3 linked regions of the Oryctolagus cuniculus genome follow. The protein of the gene in region 2 purifies or fractionates together with the protein of the main gene of each other region. This does not show direct contact. Links are inferred from orthologs where the notes say so. Each region holds a gene or a part of one and is shown on either strand. Other genes may lie near its edges.

Region 1 (4,129 bases), on a different chromosome or scaffold from region 2:
ATACCAACCTCAAGAGCACATTATAAAAGTAGTTGTTAAATAAAAATATATACTAAATATCAAGCCCAAATATCTAAGTAACAAAATGATGTAAGCTGAAAGTCCAAAAAAACCACCTGGATTTGGTTCAATACAGTCAATATTTCAGCCACTAAAATATTCTGTAGTTACAAGAAGTGGTGTGGCAGTTGATGTGGTGAATTAAAAAATGTCACAAACAGGAGGTTCACAATTTTCCAATTTCAATGTGAAAGTTAATGCATCCACAGTTGTATGCCATTTAACAACATTCTGGATGCATGTCCCTAGGCAGTCATGTTATGCAAACACCACAGAGTGTGCTCGTACAGACACAAGCTGCGCCATCCCCAGGCCATGTGGTCTCACAGGGCCTCCACTGCATACACCATCTGTTGTGGATCACAATGTCCTACGAGGCTGTGACTTATCTAGGTACACACACAGAGAACTGTCTGAAAGGCTCTCTGTATATGGTGTGAACAGTGACTACCAGTCTCTGAGGATTTTCTTTCCTTCACCACAGGTTCTAGTTTACCTAAAATAAACAAGTATTATTTCTGTAATTTTTTTCAAAAAGTTGCTTTAGGTAGATGGCTTTTAGGACACTTTACAGCTTTCAAAACTTATGACCCTCTTTCTTACAGCACGTGCAGCAAGATGCTGGGACACATCTAATTTGACTGTCTTTGCATCAGGGCCTGTACAGGTAGAATCCTTTGTAGAATAGAGCCAGCAGATGCACTTCTGGGAATTTTATTCTCATAAAATTGAACATATTTTAAATTTCAGTGTAGCAAAACTAGTTATGTTCAGTTAAATGAGTTCACTTACAAACAAAAAAGACGTAAGTTGAGGAAAACACTAGAAGTTGTTTCTCATCACGTGAGTGCATTGTAATCCTGTGTGGACTCCCTAAATTTGACCTTCCCCTCAGCGAGTACACTGCTCTCTCTGACAGCAGCAATACATCTGTAATAAATGCAAGCTCTGGGTAGGTCCAAGTCTCCACCTGCACTCATCCAACAAATGACTCTGTACCCACAATCTTCACTCTGTGCCTCTGATACCATCTGCCTGGGGCCAGCTCAGGCCTCACAAGTTAGGACATGACACTGATGAGGGCAACAGAAGGAGCTGGAGGGCTCCACAGGAACAAGGTGGAAATTGAGGCTAGATGAGAAGGCATCACAGCATATCTGGGTGGAGGGAGTAGGCACAGAAGCCTGAGGAAAACAGCAGGTGCACTTGAAAAAAATTCATCAAGCAAGAGAGCTGGAGATGAGCCAGGAACACTCATAGAAGAAGGTGGAGTGGATGTGTGGGAGCGCCACAAGGTCATCAGGAGATGAACAGCTACTGACAGGTGTGTTCTCGCCCAGCATCCATGTCTGCACGTAACCTGGTCACACACCCTCGTCTGTGCTCAAGCTCATACATGTACCTCAGTCACACACACACACCTCATCTTTCCTTACACTACGTATGTGTAACCCATACTCACATGACTCATCTGTGCTTACACTACTTACGTGTAACCCAGTCATATACACAGAATCCTTGTATGTGCTTATGCTTATACATGTACCTCACTCTCACACACACATACACCTTCATATGTGTGTACACTATATACATGTAACCTGGTCACACACAAAGCCCTGCCTATGCTCGTAACTTGGTCACACACTATATAATGTGCAACCCATCACAGACACATACATCTTTTTTGAAGCACTCCATGAAAAAGATCACACAATTTCCTAGATGATGTTGTCTAGCCTTTAACTTGTACGTTCTGGAATTTCACTTCTAATTTAAGCTCACAGCACAGTTTCAGAGTTCTCAGGGGGAACTCAACAGCTGGGTCGCTCCTACAGTTAGGACTGGTCACGAGGACATGCTCCACATCTCTGCCTTTCATCTGTCGGCATATTGCTCCACACATTTTGTTTGTTTGTTTTTAATAATTTAAATTCTCTGAATGACTTGTGGTCACAGATCCCCAAGTTGAGCACAGATGTTTATCAAAAACTAAGCTTGGGGCTGGACGACCTGAATCTCAAATGTCATGTTTGGCCACTGTGCCAGACACTCAGGGCAGAAGCCAGGGTTGGTTGCTCCCTGTTGCTGCCTCCGATCTGCCACCTAGAGTTTGTTTTACCAGATTTGGATGAAATCAGCTCTTTCTCATGCTACGTTTATTCTGATTTTTTTTTCTTTGTGAAGGACACTGAACTTACTTTTACTGACTTAAATCTGTTTCATTTCTTTGACTTATTTTAGATTCTAATTTCATTCTTTAAAAAAACATAAAACTAAAATGCTATACCCCAAAAGTTCTACTTGAAATTATAGTTGACATGGGCTATAAGTTTCAATGGTTCTTTCTGAAAACTGTCAGTAAGAAGCTGCTGACAAGTGATTTTGAGAATGTAAAGCATGAGGCACTGGGGTAGCTGTTGGTCTCGTCTGGAAAGGGAAACGAAAATGAGATCAGATGATGTTTGCATGCCAGTGACCGTAATATTTACAAATAGGTCACTCCTGGTGCATGAGCAGGAAGTGACAGAGCTAGATTTATTAGCTGTCTTTCAAGGACTGTCAGTTCTTACTTTTGAGAACATGTTTGTTAGAAGAAATCCGTTTGCTATACTTTGGTTATGGAGAGCTGTGTTTGTGCATCAAAGAGGCAAGGACACAGAAAAAGAAGGGTTCGAAGTTGCTTCCCAAGGAAAAGCCTGGTTTTGTCCATTCAGCCCCTCTCCTTGCCAACAAGGGATCGACCACCTTTATTTAACAGCCTTGGTTGGGCTCCTGAATTTCACCTATGTTATCAGATTATGCAATTTTAAAACCACATAGATCTTTACACAATTCTTATCAAAGCAAACTTAAACTGTTACAGACGAATGTTTTAGGGACAGATGCTTTATCTATTCCTCCTGCACATCTGTATCTTTTATCTCTGAAGCAAATGTGCTTGAATGACATTCTATTCCCTCTTAAGTTTTGAAGACAGAAACATTTTAAGAAACAGTGTTGTTTATTAGTGCTGCTCAGTTATTCCCGGCTTCCTTGGAAAGCCATATGACTGGCATGGGCAGAAAAAACACATGGCACCTCCTCTTGCAAGCTTTGAGAACTGTGTGCCGTTTTCCAAGTCACACATCCCTTTCCTGTCACAAAGACTGACAGCAGATGCCAAGATGGAGCCTCCATCAGCTTGGGTCACCAGATGACCACTGCAAGCCATCTACTGCTGCAGAAGAGACACATGAGCAAGAAACAAACTGCAGTTTGGTTGGACCCAGAGATCCTGAGACTGCAAGCTCCTGCAGCACAGCCTGGCCAGGCTTGCACGAGGAAAATGGTCGTGTGTTTTTTGAGGGTTACTGTTCAGGAACTGTTCACTCTATCACTAGTGAATTCCACGGGAGAAGTTATGTTACAGAAAATCCTTTGCTTCCCTAGAAAAACTATTCCTAGAAAAAAGAAATGGAATGTTTCTCCAAAATTACCTTAATCTTTACTTCTTTCTCTGCAGTTTTCTTTTGCTTATCTGCCTCTTTTCTTTTGCATCTCTCCTCTTCTCTTCTTTTTCTTTTCTCTTCTTCCCGCAAGCGTTTCTTTTCTAACTCTCTTCTCCTTCGTTCTTCTCGTTTCTCCTCCCGAATTCTCTGCATCCATGGAAAAACATGAGTATGAATCATCTGCATGGAAATGGCAGATCCAGGAAGGAAGGACACTCACCAGGTAGAGGGCCAGACCTACCTGCTTTTCCAATTTTCTATTTTTAATATATTCCAAAAGAGGTGTAGTTCTTCTAGCTAAAACACAGAAATTTTGTGGCATTTAATTCCAAAAACACGACTTCTTTTCAAGTACTTATCTTCAATTTAACCCTTAAGTAATTAGAGGAATAGTATTATTCGTGAAATTTACATGGGCATACACTGTACCAGAGTTCTTGGACACAGCTAATTCCTGGCTCTTTAGAGTCATAAAACACCACTCACAAAGATGGCATAAAAGTAGAACAAGCAGGTGTTAAACTTCCTGAATGTGTGGCCGGCGCCGTGGCTCACTAGGCTAACCCTCCGCCTAGCGG
Region 2 (3,394 bases):
CCAGCACTAGGTAATCCTCCTGCCAGATTTTTCTAGTGCTACATCGGGGGTGCTCACCGCTAGGGACCCTGAGAGAGGGGAAGAGGAGAGTGCGGCCCACCGGAGTGCTCGGGCACCGGGGTCTCTAGTCTCCCGGACCCCCTCTTCTGGGTGTGCTGTTTCAGGGCCTGCTCGGAGGAGCAAGCGCTCTCACACTCTTCCTCACCGTGCAGGGCTCCCTCTCCTACCAAGCGCAAAGACCGCTCTGACGAGAAGTCCAAGGACCGCTCCAAAGATAAAGGGGCCACCAAGGAGTCCAGTGAGAAGGACCGCGGCCGGGACAAGGCGCGGAAGCGGCGCAGCGCTTCCAGCGGCAGCAGCAGCACCAGGTGGGGCGGGCGGGCCGGCGGCAGCCACAGCCGCCTCTCCACACGCACCTGCACGCTGGTGCCAGAGACCCCGGTGCCAGGCCGCTCAGGGTCTGCTCTGGGTGTACGGAGGGACGGCCTTTCTCCTTTCTGTGATGGCAGGGAGAGTGGTGTTGCGTGCGGCGTGTCCTGCGCTGCCGTGTGCTCACACTGCCCGGTCGGGAGCTTATCCTGGTGGTTGGAAACCGGCCCAAGTCAGTGAGCAGCGGCCTCCCGGGCAGAGCTGGCGGCTCTGGCTGCGCCGAGGGCCTCAGCGGGAGAGGCTTCTGTGCAGGCGGAAAGTGGCCGGGTCCTTTTGCCTGCCTCCAGGCGCTTGGGCAGGGGGCGCCTCCCTCAGGCGGGAGAGCGCAAGCGTGCAGACGCCCGGGGTCTGGTGGAGGAGCAGCTCCCGCCTGTTGCGGCGGTGACCCTTGGTGTCCTGCCTCAGGTCTCGCTCCAGCTCCAGCTCCAGCTCGGGCTCCAGCACCAGCACGGGCTCCAGCAGCGGCTCCAGCTCCTCCTCGGCGTCCAGCCGCTCCGGCAGCTCCAGCTCCTCCCGCAGCTCCAGCTCCAGCAGCTCCTCTGGCTCCCCGAGCCCCTCCCGGCGCAGGCACGACAACAGACGGCGCTCGCGCTCCAAGTGAGTAGGCCAGCCCGCGTGCCAGCCGGGCGGTAAACGCACCGAGTGTTTCTGTCCCGATAGGCTGTAAGCCGGGGTGACATGCATACACTGGTAGCAGAGTTTCCTTAGAAAGTGTTGGGTACGCAGGTAACTTCCACTAAAGGGAGTCCAGTGCGTTTTGAATTGACAGGAATTGTTTGTTGTGGTGTTTCATTGTCTTCCTCACTCAGATCCAAACCCCCTAAAAGAGATGAAAAGGAGAGGAAAAGACGGAGCCCGTCCCCTAAACCCACCAAAGTGCACATTGGGAGGCTCACCAGGAACGTGACCAAGGTGAGGGTCCCGGAGCCAGGCGGGACCGTGGGGGGTGCGGGGGTGCGGGGCTCGGCAGAGCTCTGGCTGACTCCGGAGTGTTACACAGGCCTCGGAGGCTGATCGCAGGATGAAGTAATGGGTGGTTGAATGAGCTTTCTTTCCTCCAGGACCACATCATGGAGATATTTTCCACCTATGGGAAGATTAAAATGATTGACATGCCTGTGGACAGGATGCACCCCCACCTGTCCAAAGGCTACGCCTATGTGGAGTTTGAGAACCCGGACGAGGCCGAGAAGGCACTGAAGCACATGGACGGAGGTCGGTGGCCCTGCTGGCGCGCTCCGGCCTCTGAGCCCTCCTGGGAGCTCTGGGGTTCCAGTGCGGGTGTGCTTACCAGAAACGTGTTTTTGTGGCACACTTGGTTTGGAAAAACATCCCACAATATGAGTGTATCAGCATTTTAGGGAACTTTCCATCTGTTAAAAGCTTAAATATCAGACAGGCTATACAGATATGCTTGGCTTTTCTCATTCTTTTAAGATTTATTTATTTGAGAGACAGGCACAGAGAAAGAGCGAGGTCTCCCATGTGCTGTTTGACTCCTCAGCCACCGCAGCCAGGGCCGGGCCAGGACCCAGGGACTCCATCCTGGTCGCCCGTGGGGAAGCAGGGGCCCAAGTACTTGGCCACCATCTGCTGCTTTCCCGGGCATGTTGGCAGAGAACTGGGTTGGAAGTGGAGCAGCCGAGACTGAACTGGCAACTGTGCGTGGGATGCTGGAGGTTGTAGGCTGTGGTTTCACAAACCTCTCCGCCATAGTCCAGCCCCTGTTGGGCTTTTTATTTCCTTTTCATTGCTTCTGAGTCATTTTTTTGTTTGCCAGTATTTTTAGGATTCCTTTGTTGAGTGGTAGGTTTGCTGAAATCACAAAACTTACTCTTAAATACTTGTGGCCTTCAGCTGCTTGTGATGTGTAGAGCTGTTTGTGTTGAGCAGAGTGTGTTGCTTGATTTTTTTTTTAAAGATTTATTTATTTGAAAGAATTACACAGAGGAGGAGAGGTGCGGAGAGAGGTCTTCCATCCTCTGGTTCACTCCCCAGTTGGCCACAACGGCCGGAGGTGGGCCCATGTGAAGCCAGGAGCTTTTTCCTGGTCTTCCCATGCAGGTGCAGGGGCCCAAGGATTTGGGCCATCTTCTGCTTTCTCAGGCCATAGAGAGCTGGATCAGAAGTGGAGCGGCTGAGTCTTGAACCCTTTTGGAAGGTGCCGGCACTGCAAGGGGTGGCTTTACCCGCTACACCACAGCACCGGCCCCGAGTGGAGTGTGTGTGTTTTTTTGTTTGGTTTGGTTTTTGTTTGTTTGTTTGACAGGCGGAGTAGACAGTGAGAGAGAGAGACAGAGAGAAAGGTCTTCCTTTGCCGTTGGTTCACCCTCCAATGGCTGCTGCAGCTGGCGCACCGCGCTGATCCGAAGCCAGGAGCCAGGTGCTTCTCCTGGTCTCCCATGGGGTGCAGGGCCCAAGCACTTGGGCCATCCTCCACTGCACTCCCGGGCCACAGCAGAGAGCTGGCCTGGAAGAGGGGCAACCGGGACAGAACCGGCGCCCCTACTGGGACTAGAACCCGGTGTGCCAGTGCCGCAGGTGGAGGATTAGCCAAGTGAGCCGCGGCGCCGGCCTGGAGTGGTCTTTACAGCACATGAGTAGTTGTGGATGACCATTTTTGTGTTGCCTTTCAGTCGGCACGGTAAGGAATGCCGGGCTTGCCTCTGCCCAGCTTCCTGCTTGCTGTAGTTGGGCTGGGGCTGAGTTCGGCAGCCCACAGGGAGGAGAGGGAACGCCTGAGTAGCTTCCCAGTTTCTGTGAAAAATCGCCTGTGGGTATTAAGTTCTCCCAGTACTTAGCCAGCTTCTCTTTCAGTTGACTTGAATCCCTCTGGAGTGTTCTGGGAACTCCGTGTGAACTGTGTCGCTCCCACCTGCTTCTGGCCTTGTGATTTGCCTCTTCGCTTCAGAGTCTGCAGTTGGCTGGCGTTTGAGACTGGGGAGGCTGGGGCTGTGTGTGTGTC
Region 3 (4,129 bases), on a different chromosome or scaffold from region 2:
GGCCTCTGCTGGGGCCCAGCCTAGCAGGGAGGAGAGAAGGCGCCGTGGACAGAGGACGTCTGCAGGCCCGGGGTCACGCTGGGGGCCTCAGGGTCCCCTCCTGCGGGCTGATGCACCTCAGGACCATCTGGACCGCGGGGCCCCGCAGCGCAAAACCCTCTTCAAGTGACAAGGACGTCAGCCAGTCAACGTGAGGTCCGAGACGGGGCTGTGGCAGCGGTAATGCTGCTGGTTCCTGGGGTCCCTCTGGGTTAGCAGTGGTCTTAGGAGACGCGGGGGGAGGGGAGGGGAAGGGTGTGGCACCTGTGCTTCACTGCCTGAGGGGGCTGGGGGCAGACCCCGGTACAAACCCAGCAAAGTGCTAACAACCACCATGGAGTCGGGAAGAAGGGGCCTGGCGCCTGCTCTACTCGTCTCAGCGACCTCTATTTAGAATGGTGGTTGAAAGGCAGAGAGACAGATAGGACAGGTCTCCATCCACTGGTTCATTCCCCAAATGTCCACAGTAGCTGGGGCAGGGCCAGGTCAAAGCCAGGAGCTGGAGCTCCACGCGGGTCTCCCACGCGGGTCTCCCACGCGGGTCTCCCACGCGGGTGGCGGGGGCTCAGGCACTTGAATCACCACTGCTGCCTCCCAGAACGCACTGGCAGGAAGCTGGGTCAAGTTACCTTTATGTCTGAAAATGTTCATTATAAACAGCGGTGCAGAAGCTAATGGGCGGGGGGGGGGGGCAGCACTGTGGCACAGAGGGTAAAGCCACTGCCTGTGGCACCGGAATCCCATATGGGCGCTGGTTCGAGTCCCGGCTGCTCCACTTCCGAGCCGGCTCTGCCATGGCCTGGGAAAGCAGTAGAAGATGACCCAAATCCCTGGGCCCCTGCACCCACGTGGGAGACCTGGAAGAAGCTCCTGGCTCCTGGCTTTGAATCAGCCCAGCTCCAGCCATTGCAGCCATCTGCGGAGTGAACCAGCGGATGGAAGACCTCTCTCTCTCTCTCTCTCTCTCTAACTCTGCCATTCAAATAAATAAATCTTTAAAAAATATTTGAAGGTAAAACACGGTATCTGTGATTTACTCGTCCTAAGTATTGGAGGAAAGAATCCGTGAGTGGCATCTGTGGCCAGTGGGGCGCGCGGGCCGTGGGCTCGCCCTCCTTGTCTGGGTTCTGGGAACAAGATTCCCGGGAAATAAACGGGAGCAGCCCCACGGCCTGGCTGCAAGGCCACACGGGCCGTGCCCACACGCGAGGTGCTGCCCGGGCCCACAGCGGAAGTGAGGCCACACGGCACCTGCCACGGCTCCACGGCTGGGAGGGGCCTCTCAGGTCCCCGAGCTCCTGAGCTGTTACGGGGGATGCCCAGGCACACAGGCAGACACGCGTGCAGACGTGTGCACACACACTTGCACATGCGGCTGGCAGGGGAGACCAGTGCCACACACGAGAAGGAACGGCTTGTCGGCAGGCGCCGTATGCCGTGTCCCAGCGCTCGGTGCTGAGCTGCACTGCGGGGCAGCCGGAGCCCGGGGCCTGGCCCCGCCGCAGGGAAGGGTGCTGAGCAGGTTCCAGGACCGGGCTGGGCCACTCACGGACTGCGCCAGGGTCCGAGCCTCAGCTCTGCGGGGAGGGGCGGACGGCAAGCATAGACCTGGCTCGCTGTGGGAACTTCGCTGCCACCTGTCCTGACTGTGGGCTGGGAGGAAGCCCCTCAGGGACAGGCCCCACCTCAAACAGCCCACTGACCGGCGGGCCGGCCTGGCTGCGATGCCCGATCCCAGCCCTGGCCCCTGGGTCGCCACCCCTCGCCTCGGGGCTGGGCGGGAGCCGGGCAGCAGGGCCCAGCTCTCCGCCTGCTGCTGGGTGCCGTGCAGTCTTGAGGTCAGCACCGCCTGCCCTGCCCTGCCCATGCCGCAGGTACCAGCCTGGCTGGACAGAAATCCTCGTCAACGTCCGCAGCCGAGCGCCCCGGGGTACCTGGCGGGGGGTAGCACTGCAGCAGCCGCAGGAGCTTCACCGAGAGCCAGGGCGCCGGGACGAAGTAGTACGTGTAGTCCTGGAGGTCGGTGGAGGCCGAAGAGACGATCTGGGGTGAGAAGGCGTGAGGAGTGGGCAGGGGCCCCCACGCTGTGGGCGAGAGGCAGGCTGCGCGCGCCGGGCTGAGGGTCCCCGAGAGGGTGGAGCTGCGCCTGGGCCTGCACGTGGCTGGTTTTCCACGTGCGGCTGCAGGCGGGAGGCCCAGCGCCAAGCCCAGGCCCACTCCTCGTGACGGACGACGGGGGCCTCCCTGATGGCCCCGGCTCCCTGGAGGCAGGAACCAGGCCCCTGGGCCCGACGCTGGATGGGGCGGAGCAGGATTTAGGGACGCACTGAGACACAAAGAGCTCACGGGACTTCCCTCTGCTCACAGTGAATTCCTCTCCAACCGGGAAAACCCCTCCTCTGTGCGCCCCGTGACGGCACTGCCCACCCACCAGTGTCTCCAGGCCCCTGGCCGGGAGCCATCAGGGTGAGGGCTGGAGGCGCTGGGTGTCCCCCACCTACTCCACTGCCCTGTGCTCCACCCTCTGTGAAGGGAGCGCCTCCCCCAGGAAGCCTTCTGGGACTCCCAGCTGGGCTCCTGTGCCTCCGGCCACCACAGCACGCACGGCCCTGAGTGTGGCCCCCTGACCGAGTCCCCTGCCCTCTCGCCTGCCCAGGGCCACACAGCCAGGAAGCGGCTGCGGGGGAGGGCAAGCAGAGCGGCGCAGGGCCACCTCGCAGGGCCACCTCGCAGGCCGGCGCCGGGATGGCACGTACCCGGCTCAGGCGCGACACAGCCAGGGAGACGCACGTCTTGAAGTCGTCGGGGTTCTTCTTGCAGAGACAGGTGATGAGGCTGACGGCGGCCGTGACCACGCCCTGCAGGGGGCAGACAACACCTGAGGGCAGAGCCGGCGGGTGACAGCGGTCTCTGCTGCGGGGCCGGGAAGCTCCAGGTGGCAGAAGCGTCTCAAACCCTGAGGGGCTGGGTGGGGGTGGTGACAAGGGGCTGGGAACAGGGCCGCTGGGCAGCCTGGTGGGGCCGCGGGTGGCGGCGGGCGTTCTGGAGCAGGGCCGCGCAGGGTCTGTGGCAGCTGGGCGGGGGGGGGGCCTCACCATGTGCTGGTCATTGAGCAGGTGCACCACGCGGGCCGTCCACTCGCCCATGGGCACCAAGTCAGGCGAGGCCTTGTAGAGCCGCAGCAGGCACAGGGCCGCGCTCTGCTTCACGCTGTCCATGCTGTCCCTGCGGCCACACAACGCGGGTGCAGGCAGTCAGTGCCGTCCCGCTCCGCACGGCTCCCCCATGCCTGCTGCTCCCCAGAGGGCGGCAGTGTGGCCCGGTCCCACCTGGCGCTGCCCTCGCTGGGTCACAGGCGTGTGCTGGCCCTTGCAGACAGGCAGCGGCCCCTGCTGGAGCGCGTTCACGGAGCACGCTCAGCTCCCGGGTTCCCCGCCGGGAAGCCAAGGGGGCGAGGAGAGCGCAGAGCCGGGCGACGGCGAGGCCATTTTGGACCCGGGACTCGCATCCCTGCCCCGACCTGCGAGACCTGGACTGAGCTCCAGGCACGTGGCGCAGGCCTGGCGGCTGCAGGCATTTAAAGAATGAAGCGGTGGATGGAAGATCTATTTGTCTATGACTCTGCCTTAGTATATTTTTTTAAGACCTATTTATTTGAAGGGCAGAGTTAGAGAGAGAGAGAGAGGTCTTCTATCTGCTGGTTCACTCTCCGCATGGCCACAACAGTGAGGGCTGCACCAGCCTAAGGTCAGGAGCCAGGAGCTCCATCCACGTCTCCCACACGGGAAGCAGGTGCCCAAGCACGTGGGCCCTCCTCCACTGCCTTCCCAGGCCCCTCTGCCTTTTACATAAAGATACACTGCTCCAAACTGTCTACTGTGAAAAAAGTACGGATTAATTCCAAAAACATTTGCACCAAAACAAACTGACCTTTTAATTCCATTTTTCTATGAACTCTGTCACTCTGCCTCTCAAATGAACAATAGATGGTAAAAGGAAACAGAACTGTGGTGGGCTGAATGGCAGTGGCCAAGGTGCCAACATCCCAAGCCCCGGAGCTGGGCGTCTGGTCCCTACTTCCCAAGGGGCT

What was found. The genes of interacting proteins can lie anywhere in the genome.
Region 1: the proteins of RNPS1 (region 2) and UPF3A purify together in Homo sapiens (co-immunoprecipitation; 4 studies listed by BioGRID and IntAct, with this or other methods). This does not show direct contact. The link is inferred for Oryctolagus cuniculus from reciprocal best matches to the Homo sapiens genes RNPS1 and UPF3A.
Region 3: the proteins of RNPS1 (region 2) and AP2A1 purify together in Homo sapiens (co-immunoprecipitation; 3 studies listed by BioGRID and IntAct, with this or other methods). This does not show direct contact. The link is inferred for Oryctolagus cuniculus from reciprocal best matches to the Homo sapiens genes RNPS1 and AP2A1.

Annotation. Positions count from the first base shown.
Region 1 is NC_091440.1:47,221-51,349, forward strand, and holds part of UPF3A (regulator of nonsense transcripts 3A), read right to left. Parts: intron 3,849-4,129; coding exon 3,793-3,848; intron 3,699-3,792; coding exon 3,540-3,698; intron 1-3,539. UniProt on the Homo sapiens protein: Involved in nonsense-mediated decay (NMD) of mRNAs containing premature stop codons by associating with the nuclear exon junction complex (EJC) and serving as link between the EJC core and NMD machinery.
Region 2 is NC_091450.1:33,012,926-33,016,319, forward strand, and holds part of RNPS1 (RNA-binding protein with serine-rich domain 1), read left to right. Parts: coding exon 1-10; intron 11-212; coding exon 213-368; intron 369-834; coding exon 835-1,026; intron 1,027-1,238; coding exon 1,239-1,341; intron 1,342-1,490; coding exon 1,491-1,644; intron 1,645-3,394. UniProt on the Homo sapiens protein: Part of pre- and post-splicing multiprotein mRNP complexes. Auxiliary component of the splicing-dependent multiprotein exon junction complex (EJC) deposited at splice junction on mRNAs.
Region 3 is NC_091449.1:7,751,247-7,755,375, forward strand, and holds part of AP2A1 (AP-2 complex subunit alpha-1), read right to left. Parts: intron 3,265-4,129; coding exon 3,135-3,264; intron 2,898-3,134; coding exon 2,796-2,897; intron 2,083-2,795; coding exon 1,974-2,082; intron 1-1,973.